3 linked regions of the Drosophila melanogaster genome follow. The protein of the gene in region 2 interacts with the protein of the main gene of each other region in a pairwise test. Each region holds a gene or a part of one and is shown on either strand. Other genes may lie near its edges.

Region 1 (6,721 bases), about 14 Mb from region 2:
CCACGATCGCCACCACCACCACTACAGAGGCCGCCAAGGCGGGTAGCATGGCTGTCGGTATTATTGTCCTGATCGTTGTTATGGTGCTCCTCTGCTGCCTGCTCATCATCTGCCTGCCGCTCCTCTGCCTGTGCGGCTGTTGCGGACTCGCCTGCTCCGCGTGCCTCGCTTGCGACGAAGGATGTTGTGGTGAAGGCGGCGGCGGTGGATGTTGCGGCGATGACGGCGGTGGATGTTGCGGCGATGGCGGCGGGTGTGGCGATTGTGGCGACGGCTGTGGGGACTGCACCTTGGACGATGATTAATTCGGCGATAATTCAAGTTTCTATTAATATGTACGTAGTGCTAGGATATGCGATTCGAAAGCCTATAAATTTAATGTGCTCAGGTACAGATTCGTTAGGAGCATCCGTATGCTCATTGGCAAAATTGTTGTCTATTCATAAAAAATAAAAAAATCTAGCTTAATTTTGAAATGATATCTATTAACTTAATATATGGCAACCAAAAATCAAATTTAAAGTACAAAAAAATATCGACTTCAGTAAGCTGCGACTGTACTCTTAAAATTAAAAAAAAATCTATACCCAAAATAAAATTTCTGAAGGGTCAGGGTCATCGAAATTCTTAAGCTGCTATGCAAGGAACGGTGAGAAGCATTCGTTAATTTAATGTGATTTTCCTTATACATATTTCCTTCCATTTAGAGGGTTCAATCTATTATCGAAAGCAACAAAATTTGCAATTTATTTCCCATAAGCTATGGCCGAGTTGGATGCTACAACCCTATCTGAATACGATATTGAATATATAGACTTTAACATGACAACTGTGGCGTACCGTACAACCACTGGACACCCGGATACTAACCTAGGTGCTTGGGGACTTTTGTTCATATTCGTCGTAATTTTTCTTATCATTGCTGCCTGCTGTGCTTGTATGGGTGTTCTCGTCCTTTTTGGTTGTATGAAGTCCTTTCTCTGTTTTCGCTGTAGACGCCGAGGCGACGAGTTTATAGGAAGGGAACCCTGACTGTCGTTGAAATTCTGTCATTAAAACTGAAACTTGTGCTAATAAAATTATATGTTTTGTATGAATCGAAGTCCAAAGGAATTATTTTGCCGACAAATTAATGCGGTCCTGCCAAATTACGGCAGAGTAATTGGAAAAGGATGTACTGAAGTTCAATATAACATTAACCAAACATAATTCTAAGGAGAAACGTCAGGACTTACCAGATTCCTGGACAAGTGGCATCTACCAGTAGAGAATCCTTGGCCAAAGTGCCAGTGTGACAAATGTAAACCGATTAGCCACAGCTGGGGCCGATTATCAGATGGCCCAAAGAAAATAGCCCAGGCCCTACAGAAAATGCCTCAGGTCAGGAATTTCCAGAGCTTTCTCTGCGGACTGTGGACTATGGACTGAGTGCATAAATTCCTGGCATCTCCTGCAGCTGCAGGAAAGACACAAAACACTCGCCCAAGTCCAAGTCGTAAATGCACTCAGCACTTTGTCAGCTCTCAGACAGGAAATGCAGTTGCCATTTTTCTTTCATCCCAGCAAATCCCGTTCACCTCCTGCCTTTGGCCCCCGCCCGGAAAGTCGTTCTGCAACTGTCTACATTTTTCACTTGCCATCCATAAAAAGTATCAGTTTTAGTTTCAGTTTTAGTCCTCGCTTGGCTAAAAGTCTCGTATGTCTTTTGCCTGTCTGTTGGCTCTGTTGTTTTGCTGTCTCAATTTCGCCAACGCTTCCATATTCAGTTTCATAATTTTTACCCAAGTTTATCATCCTCTTTGCCAGGCATGACAAAGTTTTCATTGCCGTCGACACAGGGCCTGGAAAAAGTTTCCTCCAGCTGTGAAGTGCATTAAACAATGCCCTCATACATGATCCGAGTGATGAGGAAGGGGACGTGCTGTGCTAAAATTGCATTTATCGAGGGGGAGTAAGTGCAAGGACACAAAAGGATAATAGCTTCGATGCACTTTCTTACTGCCAGGCGTTGGTACATGTTCAATTTACAAATGCTATGAATACGTTTTCTTTTATAAAGAACATCCACTTTCTAGCCAAGGAACTGCTTAACATAGCAATAATAAATATTACTAAAATACATTCTTAATGCAAATTCAAACTTCGTTCTTATATTGCTTTCATTGATAATACCTCAAGGTCATGGCCGGTTATATTTAAACCACAAACATTCTCTTGCTCCACCCACCCATAAATAATGTTTATAACTCTTCTTATCACTAAACGGCATATCGTATTGCCTAACAATTCGTTCACCCGGGCCGCCGCACTCTAATCTCTGAAATTTCCCAGCCATTTGACGAATTCCCTCAGCTTCTCCAATCTTCGGGGTCCGCCACGAGTCAAGATTTTCCTCCACCTGCGCTCCACAGCCAAACGATCCTCCCTGTCTATGGACTCCAGGTGCTTCCTCAACTTCCGGTATATCAGCTTCTGAAGCTGGGATGTCCGGGTCTGAACCGTGCGCTTCCATCGATCGAATCCGTTGCGCTGCAAGCAAAGCGCAATCAACTGGGTCTCGATACTGGAAGTTCTCAGTGGATCTCCCGTGGTATCCGAATCTAGATAGTCCTCAATCACGCCATAGAAGGCATTTAGCTTCTGCTCCGTTTTATTCGCATTTACGGCAGTGAAGGCATCGAAGCGATCCAAGTAGCCCAACAGAATGGAGTTCTGCGAGTCCAAGACGATCAGATCTTCCACCACATAGTCCACCAGCTCGATTGCCTGGGAAACTAGCTGAGTGCTGATTGTTTGCAGAGCGTAATCTGATTGCAAATACAACCGATAGCGACTTCGATCTCCATAGGTATTGATCAAAGAAGGGGTCAGCTGGAATAATATGAAAGCATTTATATTCAAGCCATAGTTAGTATGAATTGAGTGTTATAAAATGTTAATTAACCAAGCTACACATGTTGGATGATTTATTGCTGTAAAGCTTTTGTTCTGATTTTAAATGTACAGTTGTATGTTTTAATTTAACGATGTTTCGTGTATATTCGATACCCACCACGAGTAGAAAACCTAGTAAATTCTGATAGCTCATGGCCGACTTGTTCCCTCGAAAGGCGTTCGTCTACTGAACATACTCTACTCAATACTCAATAAACTGGGAAACAGAGCAAGTCGTAGATAGTCTTATCTATCTGAAATTTCCATGTTGAAGGTTGGCGCTTGTCCAAAGGAAATAAATTATTTATAATTTCATAAAGATGACACATGACGTCATCAAGTCAATGACGTTTCGTAGGTGAAGAACCGGCAGATAAGTGATAGGAGGAGGTTTATTGGACTTAAATTTATGAATGGACGCCGCCGGGGGCCAGACAGTAGTTATCTGCATTTAACAATGATTTCGATTCAGGCAAGCGTCTGAAGAGTTTTAGCCACTGGCTCTTTATCTCTCACAGAGAGCAAATAACCCACCCAAAGCGGTGAGATATGTGCCCAAATCTAAATCGCTTAGCAACTGAAGATGGCCAGCGAGTGCGGCAGAAAAAGGCGAAAGCTTGACAGCGAAACTATTCATTGCGTATACGCTGCTTGGGCCGTAATAGCAGTGAAATAAAAGTCCACTTAGTCAGCAGTGTGACGGGCAGTGGAAGAGAAGGGGTAGGGAATGGGGGAAGAGGTTGAGGATGCGATATGGGGGGTCATTCATTGTGCTGGGGTCAGACCCTCAGGACAATCGCCTGTATCCGTGTGTGTGCCGTTGTGATAAATGCTTGAACTGGGTCAGTGGCGTACGATGATGAAACTCTGAGCGCCAAAATGGCAAATAAAACGCCGATTGTTCGTATCAGAGTTTCAAATGAAATCCTCTATCCCTGCCCCACAATAAATGCCTCGCATTTGGAGTTTTCGAGTGGCCGACAAATCCCCAATGCGCTGCGCTCAGCAACGAACTGCAATTTCAACTTTGATAAGCGAAGTTTAGTGCAAAAATCCAAAAAAAAAGGGAAATAAAAAAATCACCATCACCCCCGCCATATGACAATGTTATTAGCGTAGTTTTTGCGATTTCCAGGGATTTAAAGCGTTTTTATGTCCTTTTTTTTTTTGTGCGGCTAGCGTTGCGATGGTAACTTTTCAGTGCCGCATCCAAATCCTGATGGATGCGAAAGCGTTGAACCGGTCTAAACTTAATTGGGAATCTGTGCGAAAGGGTGAAGTCCCTGGGATTGTTCAGAATTCCGCAGCCAAAAAATCAAGGGAACATCATCAAGCCCGAAGACTGCTAAACAATTACGTCCTTTGGGGCTGAGAAATCCCAGCGCCTTTTATATGGCGAAACAATAACCGAGAACTTTGCCTCCGGCGAAACAGCCGCCTAACACAAGTGCTATAAATTGCCTCAACAACGCCTGCTGTTTCTCCGCCCAACCATTTCCCCTTTATCAACTCCCCAACCGTTGCATGCAAATTTCAATAACTTGTATTCGGTAACCCTTCCAACAACTGACACTGAATATCAAATATGAGTTGGGGCCAAAAATTATTTGCATACTTTCGGGGATGCTTTGCAGCACTCCAAAAAACAAGAAGAGCGAAACAAAAATTGAGATAATATGCATAGTGCGTTCTGCCTAGGCTCAAAATACCCTTTCTTTTTTTATTGAATACTTTATGATCTATACCATACACCATTTGAAAATAAAAACTATTTTCTTTTGCTTAGCCATGCCAGAAAGAACTTAAAGCTGAGAGTAACACAAGTACCTTAATGGTTTTAAATTTTTTTTAAATTTAAAACTTATTCAACATAACTAATTTCTATAGAGTATTCCAACCGAAGAGGAAGGAACCCACAGGAAGTACAACCAGACTCGCACATGTGGCGCGCTTTGGTTTCGGTGGGGGGATGAAAGCCCTAAACAGGAGCAAAAAAGGATACAGAAGCGAAAAAAGAGGAATCGCTACATGCCTTTGTAAGGGGGTGTAAACAGCAGAAGCAATCCTTTTTTTTTCGTTACACCGAAACGAGTTATTTATTGCATTTGCAAATTTTACACAACATTTTGCAGTTACCTCAGTGCCGTAAAATCCGGTGCTCTCTCCACTTTTCCACCGCAAAAGGTGGAGCCGAAGTTTATCGCGGTAAAAATTGATTCAGTTTGTACACAAATTTGCATGTGTATCGCGGTAGCAGACTCCTCCTCGGGCTTTGTGTAATGCGAAGCTGCAAGTTCAATGAAGCCAAAAGGTGTTGCCTTCCCATCCCTCAAGCCGTGAAATGGATGTGCAAATATTTTCATAAATTTGTATGCCAAAGTTTCAGGTGTCATGTTTGAAAATATCCCAGAGATATTTCGAAATTCCAAAAAAAAAAAAAACGAGAGAAGAGTGCTGGAAATTTGAATTTTGCGGTGTCAATGAAAATTTGATTTTTTACATTCTTGCTTGAAAAATTGCAGCGATAATTTTTGATAGAGTTGTAAATTTCAGTTTGATTCGGAGGAAGCGGTTTATGAAATTGCAACATAATTTATTGTATGGCATAAATATCTTGGAATTTCTTGTGACATTTTGATAAGTGCAAAATTTCTAGGAGCTGTTCGTATTAAATGGAAAAGTTAAGTGAGCATTTTTTTCGTTTAACGATTTGATTTCCCTTTCATTGCTGTTGTTGCAACTCTTACTTTTTGAACCCTTTCCTGAGGATATTTTCCACAAAAAATGTAACTAATTCGCATGTCCTTCTGGTTGCCACTTATCTCTGCTGCTGTTATTTGCTGAAATATGGGGGATGTCAGGCCAAATAAAGGTGACCAATAAAAAGTGTGGCCAAGATAAGCAAAGTGGTGCAGACAAAGCCCGCAAAACAAAACCGAGGGAAAAAAGGCGACTGAAACCAGGTTGGAAAGCTGAACAAAAGCTGGCTATGATTTAAGTTTTTTTATTTCCTCCTCGCGCCAGCAAAATTGATCAAGATATATAGGTGTATTTTGCGGGTAACCTGGTTAAGTGCACAGTCGAGCTGTCAAGATAAGTTCCTTGTTTTAGGTTTCTGGCTACACTTTAAGCCCTTAATATGTGTGTCCAACTTTTGTTTAACTTTATTCGGATTTCTTTGACCGCACCGGTTAGTCTTTGTCCCGTATCCTTCGGATTTCCCGTAAGATGAATGCGCTCTGCTTATCTGGTGGTCACTTTTCCTCTGTCTCGATTTCAATGTTGGGGATTCCCGCTTTCCGGGCTTTCGTTGCCTGTCAAACGGTGTTTTAGTGCCGGTCACAGGATACTCCGGTCCGCCCGATTATCTCCTAGCTCCGTGCTGAAAGCGATATGTCTGCACGGTGGGCTGTCCCTTGTCCTCGGGAATGGGATACCCTTCGGCTTGACAGCATCTTAACTAATATAATGCCCAATTTTCTGTGGTTTATGGCTTACAACTGTCAATGCTTCGTCCGACCATCCATCTAAGCATTTGCCTCTGCGGGTTGCGCTGAGCTTTTTACGGGATTTTCCTTGACCATTGAAAGGTCGTTATTTAAATTGATATAAATGATATGTCCTTGCGTTGGCTCTCCTGCTTTTTTTGAGTTCTTTGTTTGGTCAGTACTTTGACATTCGGCGGGGCTGTAAGTGAATTTCAAATCGATATCAACGCTAAGTGACTTTGATTTATCAATGTGCATTGTGCATGAGTTATTTGCACACACGTTTGTGTCTCGACCAC
Region 2 (8,288 bases):
CCTGCAGGTTTTCAAACTCTATATTCTAAAGATAGCAGATAGCAGATACACTAAAGTCAAACTGCCAACTGTGCCAATAAATAAGTTCGTCAACGCAAATAAACAGCACACACCCCGCCCATCGAATAATAAATAACTTAAACTTACTTCTAGACAATATCTGTGCTAACCGTTCTGGACTCACCTGCATTATGGGATACGCGAGACGTCCTTTGCCGAGCCGCTCTATGATCGTCAGCTTGGTGGTGCTGGCCATGACTCCGGCGATGTTGGAGGAGGACAGGACCGGACGCGGCGGTGGGACGATGGGCACAAAGTCACGATTCCTTTCGGCGAAGCTGCGATCGAACGAGTTGCGTCGGTCGCTGTGGGAGCGTCTATAGGCCACGTGGTTGCCATTACCACCGCCAGCGGTATTGGGCGCCCGACCCGCTTGATGGCCATTTTGTGAGCTGTTGTACTGGGATACGCCCATGTAGGACTTGGACTTGCGATACTGCTTGGCGGAGTAGACAACCGGCTCCGGGTAATGGAGATCGCTGTGATTGCTGGCGGTCTCCGATCCGGAACTGGTTGACGACGACGAAAAGGAGGAGGCAGAAGCGGAAGAGCTGGATGCGGATGCGGGGACTGTGGATGCGGTTACGGCGGTGGTCAGGCCGGAGATCATCGATGGCTTGGAGCATTTGGCACAGGGCACGGCCAAGGCGGCTGTCAGCAGTTCAGCGGGATTAATTTTTCCCACTCCACTGTCCAATGTTGCCAATGTGTCCGAGATGTTGCTGCTGTTGCTGCTCATGTTGCTGCTGCTCTTGCTGCTCATGTTGCTGCTGTTGCTGTTTATGTCGATGCTGTTCCTGAAGCTGTTGCTTCTGTAGTTGCTGCTGTCGCGTGGCAGCGACTGTAGGAATATCTGTTGGCGTTGCGGCTTCGCTTTCTTGCCGCTGCGCTGCGACTGCTGCTGATTTCCTTTGCCTGCATTCTTTTTGTTGTTGCCGCTGTTGTTATTGCTGTTAGGCTTTGTGGATTGGCCCTTGTTTGTTTTGTTGTTGTTGTAGTTGTTGTTGTTGCTAAGTTTGCTGCTGTTTTCAATGTTGCTGCTATTCTTGCCCGCCGCCGGCAACATTGCCTCTTGCTGCCTCTCCTTGTCCTTGTCCGCCTTCTTGTTTACCATTTTTGGATTGCCCCTGTTAACTGTTATCCGTGCTGCGCTTCTACAGTTCCGTTAGTTCTCTGCGTTCTACGTTCCGTGCGCAATTGGCTTTTGGATCGTGCTTGCGCTTGTGTTTTGTTGTTGTCGCTCTTGTCTCCGCTTATCTGGCCCTCTCACTCGCGCTCGCGCATTCGCTCTCGTTTTCGTTGAGCTTTTTTTGTGTTTTTAGTTTGTGGTGCCACGTTTTGTTGTTGGCGCGCTGCGATATTATATTTTGTATATTTCGCTTACGTTCTTTTTATTTTTATATTAAATGAGCTTTTGTTGTACACCTTTTGAAATGTTTTTAATCACGAAATTCACGAATGTTGTTTCTCACTTGCTAACACTTTTTTTTAACTGCGTCTTTTCGGCGAAATTGCTGTTCTTCGTTTTGCTACCCCTTTTGGTTTGGATGACATTTACCGCAAGATAAGCAAGTGAGAGAGGGAGAGAGCGGCAGCGATCACCATGTAAAGAGAGAAAAGAGAAAGGGGAAGAAACAAAATTAGTTATTGGTTATTTGCTTTCTCGAACAATTGTTTTCGCCATTCCGTTCGAGACTTTGCTTATTTGTACTAAATGCATTTGATTTATTTTAATGAAGCCAAAATCACTTATGAAAGCGTATTCCTCACATGTGCCCATCCACCCCTTTTTTTTGTGAGTCTTTATCACACATTTTGTTTTTGATTAACTGCTGTGGGTTCCTAAAGGAGCTAAAAGTATAAAAGTCTCCACCATTTTCAAACGCGCAATTCGTATTACTTATTTCTTGCGTTCATTCGAAAAAGCAAAAACAAAAAGCCGAAAAATAGCGCATAATATATAAAAACATGTACATACATACGTACATATGTATGTACATATGCCGTTGTGCCATGTTTGTTGGTATGTAAATGCTTGCCATTTGGTTCTCCCTCTTTTGATCCCTCCATCTCATTCTATCCCCCAGACCGATGATGTAAGTTTTCGTATCGGAATGCTTTATTTTTTCCCCTTGCTCTTCCTTTCGACACCGAGTCGCCGAGTAAATGTGTGATGATTGCTAAACTGACCACAAGATCAATAACTTTGACTCCCCATAAACTGCTAAGATTGCTCATTAAACTCTTTAAAAGTGCGCGAAATCCGTCTAAATATTTTATACTCTTTAAATCGCCTTAAGTTCAAAATTCGCTAGCATCTACTGAAGTTTATCAGTAGCAATAGGATATGGATATATGTAAGTATGTAAATTGTATGTACAAATGGGTCAGAACCAATCCAATGAATTTATGAGAATAGTTACGATACCCTCTGTAAGGGTATAGAAATAAAACAGTTCTCGGGCTACTCTTATTGTTATTTACCAGACTTTATGACTCAATCGCAATGAGAGAAATTCAAACTGATCTCTTTCAAATCAGTTAAGTGCTTTTCCAGAATTATCGAACACTAACCGTTCTTGAACCCAAAAGTGATGGATGAACGTAAGAACGACGATAATTATTCTTGTCTAACGAGCTAACATATTAGTTTTTGTGTCAAATAAATACTAATAACAACATTTGGGGTTCCCACGTGCGTTAAATTGCATTGTTATTGAACTTTTGCCCACAGCAAGTGTTCTACGAAGTTTATTTATTCAAGAGAGTACAAACGTTTTATATTTAAATGTAAGAAAAAGATTGATTAAATTGTTTATTTTAAGAACAACAAAAATGCACCAAATATACAAATTGATGTTTCATCTTTAAATGCAAAATTTTGGTTTCGAATTCTAGTTTTAAGTTATTTTTTTTGCATTAAGTATGTATGTACATATGTACTCAAAATATGTACTGCAATGAAAATATAGGAAACCAAACCACTTTGAGAGGATTTCGGGTTGAATAATATCTGAAGGTGTTTTCATCTACATATTGTACATACATACATATCTACACCGACAAAAAATAGCGAAACCGGAAATGCCAGATGCCAAGACTAACCGAGACCCAAAAGTGATGAGCAGGGGGGTGGAAGGGGAAGATGGAGGGAAAGGTGTATGCTGTGGTGTGTGCCTAGATTGTTATCCGCATTTCTGGTTTGCTTTTCATTATAGGCAGAACAGAATACAACACCATGCGGCACGATGCGATCTGCGAATACCCCGGACCCTGAGAATCGGCGCTGCAGTCACGTAGACCCACTAATTGAGCGAGATCAATAACGGTGATTGTGTGTGCACCTATATGCATATATATGTACGAATGTATTTACCTGAACAATTCGGACAGCTCGTGCCTAGTCGCGCATTATCCAAAATTACGCAGAACGGCTTCGGGTTCCGCCGCCGGGTGCTCCTTCTTCGTAGGGTTAAAACCGAACAGAATCCTAGCTAAAGTGGGGCACGGATTGCTGAATTTCCAAAGTATCGCTATCGGCGGTGGTCTATCGGTATCGGTATGCTAACGACGACGGGCAGCAGGGTGTGGGGGGAGTTTACCGTTCCGGCGAACCGCTGGCAGAGCGCCTTAAACTAAAGTCGAAGGGCGGGCCAGGATGGCGATCGGTGAATCCGGTATTCGGTTTTGATTTTGGATTACTACGGCAAGGTAACAAGCCAAAACTTTCGGTTTTCTCTGCGCACAGATTCTGACAGCTTACACCCCAATTGCTCGGTTACCGTTACTTTTCGTCTTACGATACCGTTGCACTGCACACACTGAGGGACACTTACGCACAAACACAAACACACGCGTTCGCTCACTCAACTTCCAACTTTGTGATTTGCGATTTTCGATTTGGAATTTGATTTTTGATTTGGAATTATTTCAATTTCACTTTTTCGCTCGCCTGTTGCCGTATTTGCTTCGTTGCTTTCGGACCACGCGTTTCGATCGTTTCGTTTTGCGGAAGCTTGCCCAAAAGCTTCGAGAATGTGGTTTTTCGATTTAACAGCAAAAAGGGCTGAACAAAGTTGCACTTGCACCTGCCTAAAAAGAGCGATATTCCGGTTGGATTATGGGAATTTTTAGTTTGTGCAAGTTTAACTGAACTCCTGGTGAGTTGCTAAAGTCAATATTCTGTCTAACGGCTGCTCTGCGTTCGATCGGATCTCGGTGGGCACTGTACAGCTCCCTGTGTTTGGTCTACTTGAGTGTCGAACATGTGACGAGCAACTGATGGCGCTGGCCTGCTCCATTGGTCCGCCGGCCAGGCGAAGACGCGCGACGGCGGCAGCGGTACAGTGGGTACAGTAAGGCCTGCCTAAAAGTACTTTCACTTAGAAAGGGCACTCATTGAAATCACTGGCCATTTGTTTTAAATAAAAAGTGGCTAAAACACATACATATGTATATTTTTATTTCACAGCTATTGGGTTCAGAAAAATAAGAGTTATTATTCGATTCCATTAATAGGTTAATTTTCAACGTTCTTAAAGTCTAATCTCTATTAACGTTCGATACATTTTACGCTAGTTGAATACAAAACCATAAACAAGACATTCGGCACCGTTCATTGTATAATTAACATTAGTAAATAATGGTTTGTCACTATCTGGAAGTTTCTAGAGTTTAAATACGTTTTCATACCTTAAGTTTTATGTACACGCCATTTTGTAAGAGGATTATGTACGTGATTAACTGCATATCATATAAATCTTATTCTCGTCGACGTTCCACTGTAGTGAGTGTGGGCAAAGCGGAGGCGCCGACAATTCTAGAGAGTGCCATCGAAAAGTTCGCGAAACGGAATTAGCAACAACAATTAAGTCGGAAATGAGCAGCTCGCTGTCTCTCTCGCTCTCTGACCATACTAAGCTCCCCCTCTTTAAATACTCGAAACCATCCATGTCTTTCTACCTTCGGCGAAGAAAAGCTTTTAGAGCTTTTGAGTAGTAGGTCCAGCCGGAATGTCCAACGTTTGGTCAGGTCTCGCATCTGCAAGGTAGAGAAAAAAGAATGAAATATAATTTGAAACTATATAAATTCTAGTTCCAAAAACCCACCTCCACATAATTGTACATGGCCAGGTCGCAAATGGCGAAGGCGTCCTGCCAGCGGGATTCGGTGAACAGGGCCAACGTCTCGTCCAGTGGCAGCTGCTTGGCCAAAATGTCGGTGAGCAGCGTGACATCCTCCATTCCAGCATTCATACCCTGGCCGTAGTACGGAACCATCGCATGGGCGGCATCGCCCAGGATCAGTGCCTTATCCGCATAATGATACGGCCGGCACTTGATGGACACCAGAAACTGTGGCCTGGTCTTGAAGAAGTCCTTTATGAGCTGTTGCTCTCCAATCAGTGGCAGTGCGTCCCGGAAGTTCAGCTTAAAGAATTCCAGGAGATCGTTTTGATTCTGAATGCCAGCGAAGATCTCAAAGGGCATGGACAGCGTGACCGTGAAAGACTTATCCTGATTCGGCAGGGCAATCATCATGAAGGTGTTACGCGGCCATATGTGCAGATAGTTGGCAGGCATCTGGAAGTCTCCCGATTTCGAGGGTATGCAGAGCTCCAGATACCCCGTTTCTATGTACTCCTGGGAGTAGTTGAAGCCCGGCAAACGGACCAAGTGCTGGCGCACACTACTGAAGGCACCATCGCAGCCGACTATAAGATCAGCATGGGCAGCTACGGCTTCCTTGGCGGGATTGCGGAACTCCATGGATCCCTCTCGCAGATTGGCACTTGTCAGCTTGTGCTCGAAGTGGCAGCGTATATTGGGCAGCTTATCGCAGGCATTCAAAAGGACTTCGTTCAGCTGTCGACGTCCCACGGAGTACAGGCATTGATTGTTAATGGGATCGTATAGGACCACACTGGAGTTTCCTCGCACATCGTGGAGCATTCTGCCTCGCATGGGTATGGCGGTGGCCAGCACCTCTTGCTCCAGACCCACGGCGGCCAGCGCCTTACGGCCACGCTGCGAAAGAGCCAGGTTAATACTCCTGCCCTGAACCACTAGGGCCTCGCGGATATCCTCCCGGTACTCGTACAAATCCACGTGGTTGCCCATGCGGGCAAAGTTCAAGGCTGCCAGAGAACCCACCTAGTGTTATGGAGAATAAGATGCGTAGAAAGCGTGATAAGAGCCTTATATCTGGAAGCAGGGATTTAAAAACACTAAAGATAACGCATCTAACTACATATGTGAAGACACATCAAAATGCAGCATAATTTAAAGATTACTTAGGAATGATTCGAAAAGAATTCGAATTCTATAATTCTACTACTATGATGTGTATTTTAGCAAATTAGCAAAGCTTAGTTTTAGATATTATGAAGCTTAACTAGAATTATTGCCTGTTTATAACCGTACTACGGTCTACTCTAAATATAGACTATATATTATTTTGTTAATGATTAACACTAAATTTCATTCGCTATATTTATAGACCCACAATCTATTTATGCTTTCGCAGAGTAATAATTGTATACTTCAAATAACTTTGTTACACTCACAAGTCCTGCTCCAATAACCGCCACCCGGCGCCGTCGTCCATGTCTCTCGTCCCTCGCAGCTTCTGTTGGCTCCTGGCGGCCGTTTACCTCCTGGCTAACGATTCCTGGGCTCATGACCGTTCTGCTGGCTCGTTGGCAGCGAAATGAAGATGGAATCGAGATGGAAGCCAGGCAACTGGCTGGGGAAATGTTTAACCAAGAGATTATGTCAGATGGGCAGTAAATGGTATCTATGGTTGTTTGATGTTGCTGCGGGAAGCCAACGAAATGCAGCGGCGTAGCCACAAACATTTGTCTTGGGGTAACTTTCCTAAGTTGGGCTGCAGAAAATGAAGATTTTACACCTGATACTTGATTCGTTGAGAAGCATGTGTAACCATTTGAAGCGATTGTCCGTATAAACATCCCGATCAACAAATAAAAAACTATATAAGCTAGAGGGTATGTACATAGATTCTACGCTATGTAAGATTGGCACGCCCACTCTATAATTCACAAACCTTTCAAAACTGTTACGCGCACACTTTCGAAAAGTGTTTTGATATTATTTTGTATCAGTAGTATTTCAAACGAATGTTTCAAATATTGACCTGCGTTTCCTCGTGTTTACTTGTTAAATAAGCTAAGTTAACTAAGCTTAAGTAATGGGAAAATATATCATTACAAATTCAAAATTCAGAATATGTTTTTATTTTTCTTTATTACATACTCGTACAAATGCATCTATCTTCGATGGACAAGAAGAAAACATAAGATTAAGCCAACAATGAATTCACGATAAGAAAACATTAGATTAAGCCAGCCCAGATTACATGATATAATTAAACATTTTAAACAGATAAGAACTGTAAATTGTGAGCACTTACACTTAAGATTGCTAATGAAGGAAAATTACCAAGTATATGAATGGAAATTTTGGATCATACTAAAGAAGTGTCATGCAGTTCAATTACTAAAAGTATAAATAAATAAATACATGTTCTGTTTTAAAAAACCGCGCTAATTTAAATTAATGTGACAAACGCTGACAACCCTGTCAACGCGTTGCCAACGCTAAGCTTTCTGGTATTCTTCCTTGGCCACCAAGGTATTTTTTGTCGCTCGAACCGCGGTCACACCAAAAGCTGCTGTGGAAAAACTCATGCACAATAGAAAATAGAAAACCGAATATTTCCACAACAAAACCGTAATTCAGCGGCCCAAAAACCACAGTAGCATGTGCAGGATAGCCCGCGGCGTAGGACTTTAAAGGAAACTAGAGGAAAACCAAGAGCGGAACGGCGAAAAGAGCGAACTTTATTTGTACTCTATAGATAGCATCCAAGGAGAACCACAAAAGGCAAAACCAAAATGGTAATAAAATGCCACCAAAATAAGCGAAGAACCAGTGCAAAAACGAAAGAGGGGAAGAGGCTGAGAGCGGGAAAGTGAGAAGTAGAGAGCGCAGATAGGGAGTGGGAGCTTATACCGTTATAAAGCCAACTTCCGTTCTGCGTTTCGTTCCAACCCCCCACCTCTCTTTCCCTCTTTTGGCATTGCAAAATATTAAAACTTCCCATTTAACATATATTTTTTCGCCTGCAGGGAAATGAAACATCACTGCCCATGGAAATGTGTTCCAATTGTAAGTACGAAATAATTCACTCAATGTCATTTGAACGGA
Region 3 (8,599 bases), 4.7 Mb from region 2:
CTTTGGTGGGAGTCGCGGGTGGTGTCGGTGTGGGCTTGTGATTACAATTGTCACTGTTGCTTCCACTGCTGAGCTCGTGATCCTTGCTGTTGTACGGAATAACGCCGCTCGACAATATATCCTCGCTCAGCAGTGCGGGCACGTCGTCCACTTCCCTGCCGGTCTTCGGAGGACCAACACTGTGACCAGTGACTGAGGAGCTGTTGATCTCGTGCTCGTGCAGCAGGTCGAGCAGATATCCTAGGAACTCGGAGCTGTCCTGTTGTAGGCCGGGCGTGAAGCTAGGCGGCCGGGTGGCGTTCAGCACTCGCGAAGGCGTTAGTTCGTAGCGCAGCGAGTGATGCATCAGGGCAATCTGCTGCTGCACTTTCATGAGCAGCACTGAATTGCACTCGATAAGCAGGATTTGCCTGCTAAAACTGCAAATGGAAAATGAGTATATGTAGTTGTAAGAAGATAAATAAAGCCAATAAGCTTCGTAATCGTAATTATTTTCGTAATCGGAAATTGACACCTAAAACAGATTTATAAACAGTGAGCTCTTAAACAAAAGGTGCTGGCAAGGCAATGCAAATATAGAACCGAGTTTTAATCATAAATATGAGGCAAAGATATTATTTTGCGCTTCTACTTTGGGGAAATTAGAAGTGGGGTTTCTTCATTTGATCTTTACTTACTCGCTGGTCATGGCTAGCGCCTGAAGTACGCTATTCATGTAGCAGGTATTCCCCAGGTTAACGAGTCCAACCCTCGCATTCCGCCGACCCCACGGCTGGGCATTCTCATGCATTGCCTTTGCCAGAGCCACGCAATTCGGAGAGGGCTCATAGGTCTGCAGGGCTTTCTTGGTTGCGACATAGAGCTCATCCTGATCATAGAAACGTAGCATTAGGGCGCTGGTTAGGTCGACCAGTTGCTGCAGACATTTCTTGGTTTCCAGGCCAATCTCGTCCATGGTGGTCGACTGATTCTTCACATACTGCAGGACTCGTGGGATCCTTGGCAAGATCTAATAGGGTAACCAACCAAATGTCAATAATTATGTTGAAGCTAATGTTTGAGTGAAGTGTTTACCTTGTGAAAAACCTCGGGGGTCTGATTAATCGTTGACAGCATGTGAAACACAACCGGTGCGGCCTTTTGCCTCAGCGCCGGAAAGATCATCACGTGGAACAGCTTCTCGATGTTGTCCATTGCAATCTCGTCGAGCAGCGCCATTTTGCCCTGATCCCTTAGCCCCTTGAGCAGCGCCAGCACCCAAAGATTGAGAGTGCTGCAAAAGGTGCAGTACGTGATCCAATCACAGAGCAGGTTCACCGTCTTCTTAATGCTCGAGTCCTGCACATTCTGTTCCAGCAGCGAGTGTACAGCCTCCAGGATCTGCGTGGAGTCGAACAGCTGGAACACAATGGCCACGGCACACGAGGGTGGTGGCTCGAATGGCGACTTGGTGATCAGCTCGTAGACGACACGCAGGTAGAACATTTGGTGGAACTTCTCGTTGCGCGTAGCCAGAAAGGCACCGACCTGGCAGACGTCTTCCTTTAGGCGTGGACAGGATGCGCCTCGTGGAATTTGCAGACGGGCCAAGTCCACGATAACCCTCTCGCAGATGGCCATCACATTGTGGCCTTGCTCCGGCATATCGATGCTTTGGAGGTATGCCAGCAGGGCCTTAATATCCCGCTTGCCCGATCGGTTGGAGTTCAGGCTCTCGCCAGCGGGCGAACCCGTGTCCATGCCCTTTGGCAATACGTTCTCTTCGGCATTCGCCATTCCGTTCGCGGACATGGGTTTGGCGTTGGGCGGAATGCCGTTGCCAGCTCCTCCGGCATTATCCGAGGCATTATCACCCGCCTCGCTGTTATTCTGCTTAACGGCCATTTCGCGTTTCAATCGCTTGGCGTGGGCGTGGACGTGAGTGGCACAAAGGCTTGCGGACCACAGGGCCGACTGGAACTTCCAGTTGCCGATGGGCGGAGGCGTGGGCTTGCCTAGCGCCCGAACACAGCGGCTTTTTCGTTGCCTGCGACTCTGAGCGAGGAGTCTGAGCCGCGTGTCCTTGAACCGCGCTCCGTTACGTGTCGTCGTTACGATTTGACTGCGACCTTTCAACGGGTCTCGAGTGCGCCTCGATCCCTGCCCGATCCTGGCCAGAAACTCCCGCCACAAGCGCTTTAGAACAGAGTCCTAGACGAGTGTGGTGCACGGTAGGGTCGGTGGCCCGTGCCACATCTAAGGCGCCCCTTTTTTCGGATTACCCTGCTCGGCTTTAGCTTCGATTGCTTGCTCACACGTCGCCCGTTCGACTTAATAACCCGAATAGATTTGATTCGCCCTAAAAACTACAATTTTGACTGTTTTAAAACGAATTCTTTGTGATATTTTTCGGATTTGTTAATGTTGTCTACTGAGTCAGTGAAAGCGTTATCGACACGTTCAGACTGAATGACGGGCAGGGCGACTCTGCACGACAAGTCGGGGTGGGTGAGAATGAGGTGGCACAAAATTTGTAATTGCATTTATATGGTGAGTAATACATACTAAACGAAATAATAGTATTTTGATTTATGTTGTTATATTTAGCCCATAAAATAGTAAGTTAGGTCTTACAAACAGCGCTACCAGATCCAGTCAAAATTGAGGAAGCCTGAACGTCTATAGGCCTCCCAAAATGGCGTTGCCATGAAAAATGACAGCTGTTCGCTGCGAATGGCTATTTATGTTTGTTTTGACTCGGCTTTCGAATATATCGCAAAATATATACAGGAAACATTTATATTCACAAAAATCTGTACGATGCACCCAGGGCAAATTGAGGTCAACGAGATCAATGGCTATTGGACATTTCTGCTGAGCGTAAGATACTCGCCTATATACAATCAAAAATCAAGAATCCGGCAAGTTGTCACTATTTTTGCAGATCGATTGGAAGGATCCCTGGCTTATTGGCCTTATTTTGGCGCATATCTTAACCACCACCACTGCGCTGCTCAGCCGGAACAGCTCCAACTTCCAGGTTTTCCTCTTCCTAGTACTGTGTACGTGGACTTGGCGGCTTCCTTGACTTACCCGATAAATGACTCTGATTTTTGCATGTGCTTCATCTTCCTCAGTGCTGGCAGTCTACTTCACCGAAAGCATCAATGAGTTCGCTGCTAACAACTGGAGTTCCTTTTCCAGACAACAATACTTCGATAGCAACGGCCTGTTTATCTCGACAGTTTTCTCAATACCTATTTTGCTTAATTGCATGCTTTTGATTGTAAGTTATAGTGTTTCCACTGCATGAAGTGTGTATTTATCTTTGCTTATTTGCAGGGCACTTGGCTCTACAACTCCACGCAGCTGATGGTGACTCTAAAAACAGCGCAGCTCAAGGAGCGAGCTCGCAAGGAACGCCAGACTAAGGCGGATTCGGAATCCATAGCACATAAAAAGGCAGAGTAGAACTTACGCCTGTATTACATGCAGTTAAAAGCACAAGTAGAGCTGTGAAATTATATGTTATGCTTTAAATGGATTTTCCTGTCATCTAGATGTAGTTTGCTGCACAGCTCTCGTCTTTAAAATAAATTTAATTTAGTATAATCAAACTTATAGAATTTGTAAATTTAGGCTATTTTTACATCCTGTTTTACTTAGCGAAGTTACAAACCTAACATGCCCTTCATATTAAGCAAAAAATCACACCAGTTACCGTTGCCACCTTGGTAAAGCAGTTTTTACTGCCACCTAAAATTTTCTATATATATCACGTAATATGAACTATTTTGATATTTTTGACGAAATTAACATTATAGATCCAATCAGCTTATTGCCTGTATCAATTTCTGATCTGTGTGCCAAGACTGTAATTTCAAATTAGAAGCTCGTTGGACCTGTGTCATTTTTTAGTACGAATTCAATTGGGAGCCCTTCGTCGTCTGGTAACACTGTCCAACGATTTTGTTGTTGCTGGCTTGTGGGTGTCGAAGCAGTGTCGCGGCGCAATGTTGGAAGTGGTTTTTGGGTAAACAAAATCCGTTGATAAGATATTCGCACGGAGCTAATCGCAAATCGCGCTGCGTATTTACCGTTGGCAAGCCAGAAAAAAGTTTTGCATAGCATTGCGGTTTAAAGCCAGGCTCAAAATTCCTGCGAGCTCGCTTGTGTGTGTGCGTTTTTGCCGTCGGTGTGTATGTGTTTTGAGCCCATAAGCGTAGCCCGAAAAAAAGAAGTTTTTCTGTTACCATATTTTTTACCAAAGGCCAAAAGGGCGCAGCATCTTCGCTCTCTATCTCGGCGCTGCATCTTGCTCTCTCGTTCGCTAACGCGAGTTTGGCAACTCCGTTTACCGTTCATCGTTTATTGTGTGTAAACAGCAGGTGAAAATAAAACGCGATAAGTGCAGAGAAACAGGAGAAGGAGGAGAAAGAGCAGCAAGAAGAAGCAGCAACTCCGCGCAGCCCAACAAAAAGTGACGTATTAAAAAAGGTTGCTAATTACAAAAGGTAAACAACAAATAATGTGCGGATTATATTACCAAATTCCCGGGCATAAACAATACCAATAAAATGTTGCTAAGATTGCCCTTCCACCCCCCTCACTTACCCACTGAAATGCGTAGTAGATTTCCGCGATAGGAAAACTCGGATGAGTGACGCGTTGGCGACGCAGCGCACAGTGTTCATTCATAAAAAGTGTCTGCCCCCCTGCGCCCACTCCCAAAACACTCCCCCCTCCCCTCCACACTTTGAACCAAGCCTGTTTGTGGTTGCGCCTGGAATTTAGTTTACAACTAAATATGTTTGCGGGCAGCTAGGAGGAAAGTTCGGATTTGGTTGTTTTTGCTATGTGGGAAACCATAGTTAAACTATTTGCATTCCGTTGGAAAGTCTAGTGGTTCACGCCACGCCCCATGTTCGCTCGTTCACGAAATTATGAAATTGTGTAAATTATATTAAAAAGCTTAACGGGTATATTGATATCTCCTCTATAATACTTCATACAAGATAAGTTTAAGGAACTGAAATGTTTGAAGTTTTAATGAATTTCCTTAACTATTGCGTCTGGTTGACATCCAAGTTCGCATAGTTGAAAAATTCCATATCAAACTGAGCCGCATGCCTTAATAACTAGACCTTTTGCTCATTGAGATTAGATCACATACCGCCATATGGCAGTCGGTGAAATGATTAGCTCAGCGAATAATTAAGCGTCGTGCGAATGAAAAGTCACACACACACACACTGCAACTTGGTGTTTAGATTAGAGCATTTTGTATCTTAGCCCACCTTTGGCAATCGGTGATATCGAATAGCAGGAAAAACAATAATACGGAATTTATGGTCAGCGTGTCGCCAAAATGCCAAAGTCAAGCGAAATAAATACATAGAAATAATGAAAGAAAAAAAACAATCAAAATAACTCGGTGACATCATTTTGACTAATCGCCAATTTTAGCATTTGAAAAACGGCGGCTGCTCGCCCGGCCCACCAACAAGCGCGCGAAGGTGCGAAGGAGAGAGTCCACCAGGGAGGGGGCTGCGAGCGAGTGCGGGAGTGGGAGCGAGAATGAGAGGGGGAACACTCGTGGCAGGTGCGCCAAGCCGAAGTTCAAAACGAAGCTCAAACCCGAATGCCAAGCGGCATTCCGAACCACCTACAAGTCGGCAAGTAAAATGGATCGAATGCTCTTGCGATATCAGCGAGTTTCACTTTCGAGCCCCTCATCTATACACGAATACTATCTGCAATCGGAACAATCACTAGATAATCCCACGATCCAACATTAAGCGCATTGCTTTTATCACAGGTATTAAATCAAAGCCATGCATTTGGAAAAGTGCGCTTGCCATTTGCCAAATTTAAGTGGCTTTAATTGGCTGGTTTTTACGACTCATTGGCATTATGACGATCTTTAAATTTTACGATTAAATGCATAAATCAGGTGTTGAAGTGTAGTGCAAGTGGTTGCTACATATACCCCTACATAAATAGAATCACTCCAGAAAAATATGGCATTCAAGTTGAGTTAACTACTGGCTTGTATTGTAAGCTAAGAAATTGTTAAGTGGTAGCTATTCTCAAAAGCTTGCGCACAGGGGTGCCTTTCTTTAACTCATTATTATATCCATTTATATCCATTACGATCAAATATTCGTTATATATGGAAAATTGCCTAGCCTACCGTGACTCTATTGCCTGCCTGTTGATATTTCCCCCGCGGCAACTTCGATCCGATGCAATTAACTCGAACATATTGTGGCTCATTACGAGGGGCATTCCAATCTGAAGACGAAGCGACTCGATCTAGTTCACAGATACAGAGCTGCATACACGCATCCCACTGGTTATTTCGGTTAATTTTGATGTGTGCTGCTAAGAGCCGAGAGTGCAGAGGACTAGGCACCACTGCTCCACATCCCCAGATATTTCCGACACTACGTGCGCTGCGATGCGACGTGTCGACCGGGTGGGTGGAAATTTGGAAATGTTGTGAAAAGCTAAATGAGGCGTGACACGAAAAAGAAGGCAGAGGGGAAAAAAGAGCAAAGCGACAAACACGCAGAGCAGCATGGAAAAAAAAAGAAAAAAACAAACAAACAAACAGAGCTGAGTGCGGCCACCCACAACATGACAGCCGCCACAACAATGGCCATAGTAGCGTCGAGGAGCAGAACGAGAACGTGGTGCCCACCAAATCTAGCCACGGAGTAATTTCGGCCTAGAAAACAAAGAAAACGAAGAAAACTGCCCAGTTGTCTGCGGAAAAGACAAAGGAAGAATGGAAAACCAAGAGAGCGGAATGAAAAAGGGGGACCAATTCCGCACAAGGCGCACAATTAACCCTTTCTTTGAAGTCAGCGGCGAATGTATCCACTGTCCACTTTCCACTGGGCTTTAATTAGTTTATGGAACAAGCGTCCCGGCTCGGCTAACTGCAATAAAATTAATCGTTTATGCTGTAATCGCATTTAGCGGCGCCGACCTCCTTTCCACTCCTCTCCTCCCTACTCCTCTCCACACCGGATTCTGGCCCGGATTTCCACACCCGCAGTGGCCTCGTTTGATGTATGGGATGTACATACATTTATCGCGGGCGACAACTTTGTTCTCCATAACCAAGAGGCAGTCATGTGTGGGCATTCCATTACAGGGGATTTTCGCTAGCGATTGGAGCGTAAAGCATCTGGTTATTTTAAGACCAAGCCCATAATAATAAACCCAAAGGGCTAACCATAATTGTTCTTGCTTTACAATCAATTTTGCTCAAAAAAAAGAAAAAGAAAGAAATAACTCAAGAAACCAATTAACCGCAAACAGTGAAGTCCAGAGTCCACGAGACGTACATGCTCAGCAGCAGGAGTAGCAGGATGCGCGACAGGATTGGCCACAGCAGCCAAATCCACTGGAGCACATCATGCAGCTGTCCGCTCCGTACGGAAATTGATAGCACGGGGAATACGGGCGGGGACCACAGGACCACGATCCGCCACGAGGACCACAAGATGGCGCACAACCACCTCTGCCTCTGCCTCCACATCCACCTCTCCCTCCTCCACCGCCTTGGCCGCCTCCTCCTCCTCCGCCATAGCGGGAGTCACAGAAGGTGGTGCCAAAGGGCCCGTTACCGCCACTCCATCCGCATCTGGTGAAGCCCGAGTACTCGCCATACGGACAATCGCCGCACGCACGCTCCGGATAGGGTCCAATGTAGAACGGATTGAACTGTCTGCAGCTGGACATGTTAGCTGGCTAATATCGGAGGTCCATCAATTGGAAGGCATTCGGTATCAACTACTCACATTCTGGACTTCACTGTGCGCGGCCAGTGAGCTCCTCTATTCGGTATAATTTCGATAATCGCCTCCAACAATTGCTTCGTTATTTCCCATTAAAAGCCGAAAAGCCAACTAGACTGCCCATAAGTATGGCATTCTATGGAGCCAACTGATCCGACTGATTCGATCGACAGCGGTGGGGGTTAATATATGGCCATTGTTTCATCTGGCGCGTGTTTTGTTTGTAAACACCGATCGTGGCCAATAAATATTTGGGCATCGGACTTCCGCTTTGCGAATGGGGGGCCATAATCTAAATATTGTTTATTTACAATATATGTGAAAAGCATTGGCAAGAATAGCATTTGTATATTTGTATATTGTTTATTTGAGTTTAGTGTGCAATAATCGAACTAACTAAAGAGGGAATATTAAATATTTGTAGTAGACAACTCTGTCCACTTCAAACGTGCTTATATCAGCACAGTGGCCTCTGGCTAAGCTGCATTGATTGGTCAGATTGTTCGTCGTCGTCGTCGTTGTCGTCGTGGCAATGCCATTATGTGTGACAGTTGCATTCCAAATCTCATTATAGATTTATGCAAAGTGCAGGAGGAAAGCTTGGAGAAAGGCAGCCGACTTGCAGACTGGCCCACGATTTCCATTTTCCATATGCGTGGTGACTGTTGACCACTTGGGCCCTCGTTTGCATTGATTTGTGGGGCTTTCTTTGTCATCCCTTTTTGTGGCAACCTCTTTTTGTCTGGGATTCGATTTCCAATCGCACTCCCAATTCGATTGCAGTTCCACTTGATTGACTTGACTCTTGTCGT

Evidence for each region. Proteins that work in one complex are often made in the same cells at the same time.
Region 1: the proteins of CG46385 (region 2) and CG13488 interact in a two-hybrid assay, tested with the Drosophila melanogaster proteins (one large-scale study listed by BioGRID).
Region 3: the proteins of CG46385 (region 2) and Dyb interact in a two-hybrid assay, tested with the Drosophila melanogaster proteins (one large-scale study listed by BioGRID).

Annotation. Positions count from the first base shown.
Region 1 is NT_033778.4:21,947,994-21,954,714, reverse strand, and holds CG13488 (uncharacterized protein), read right to left. Parts: upstream 3,124-6,721; 5' UTR 3,089-3,123; coding exon 2,945-3,088; intron 2,872-2,944; coding exon 2,311-2,871; 3' UTR 2,153-2,310; downstream 1-2,152. Other genes in the region: CG13494 (uncharacterized protein), read left to right, coding at 1-305; CG43405 (uncharacterized protein), read left to right, coding at 763-1,032.
Region 2 is NT_033778.4:7,778,291-7,786,578, forward strand, and holds the start of CG46385 (uncharacterized protein), read right to left. Parts: upstream 4,348-8,288; 5' UTR 3,437-4,347; intron 1,596-3,436; 5' UTR 1,175-1,595; coding exon 185-1,174; intron 1-184. Other genes in the region: CanB2 (calcineurin B2), read left to right, coding at 7,976-7,978, 8,210-8,249.
Region 3 is NT_033778.4:12,433,398-12,441,996, forward strand, and holds the start of Dyb (dystrobrevin), read left to right. Parts: upstream 1-3,947; 5' UTR 3,948-3,992; coding exon of another isoform or gene 3,993-4,012; 5' UTR 4,013-4,493; intron 4,494-7,235; exon of another isoform or gene 7,236-7,338; coding exon of another isoform or gene 7,339-7,731; exon of another isoform or gene 7,732-7,740; intron 7,741-7,790; coding exon of another isoform or gene 7,791-7,792; exon of another isoform or gene 7,793-7,923; intron 7,924-8,599. Other genes in the region: DUBAI (deubiquitinating apoptotic inhibitor), read right to left, coding at 1-419, 678-1,009, 1,075-1,884; Tmem18 (transmembrane protein 18), read left to right, coding at 2,800-2,859, 2,924-3,041, 3,117-3,265, 3,322-3,450; CG30334 (uncharacterized protein), read right to left, coding at 7,339-7,731.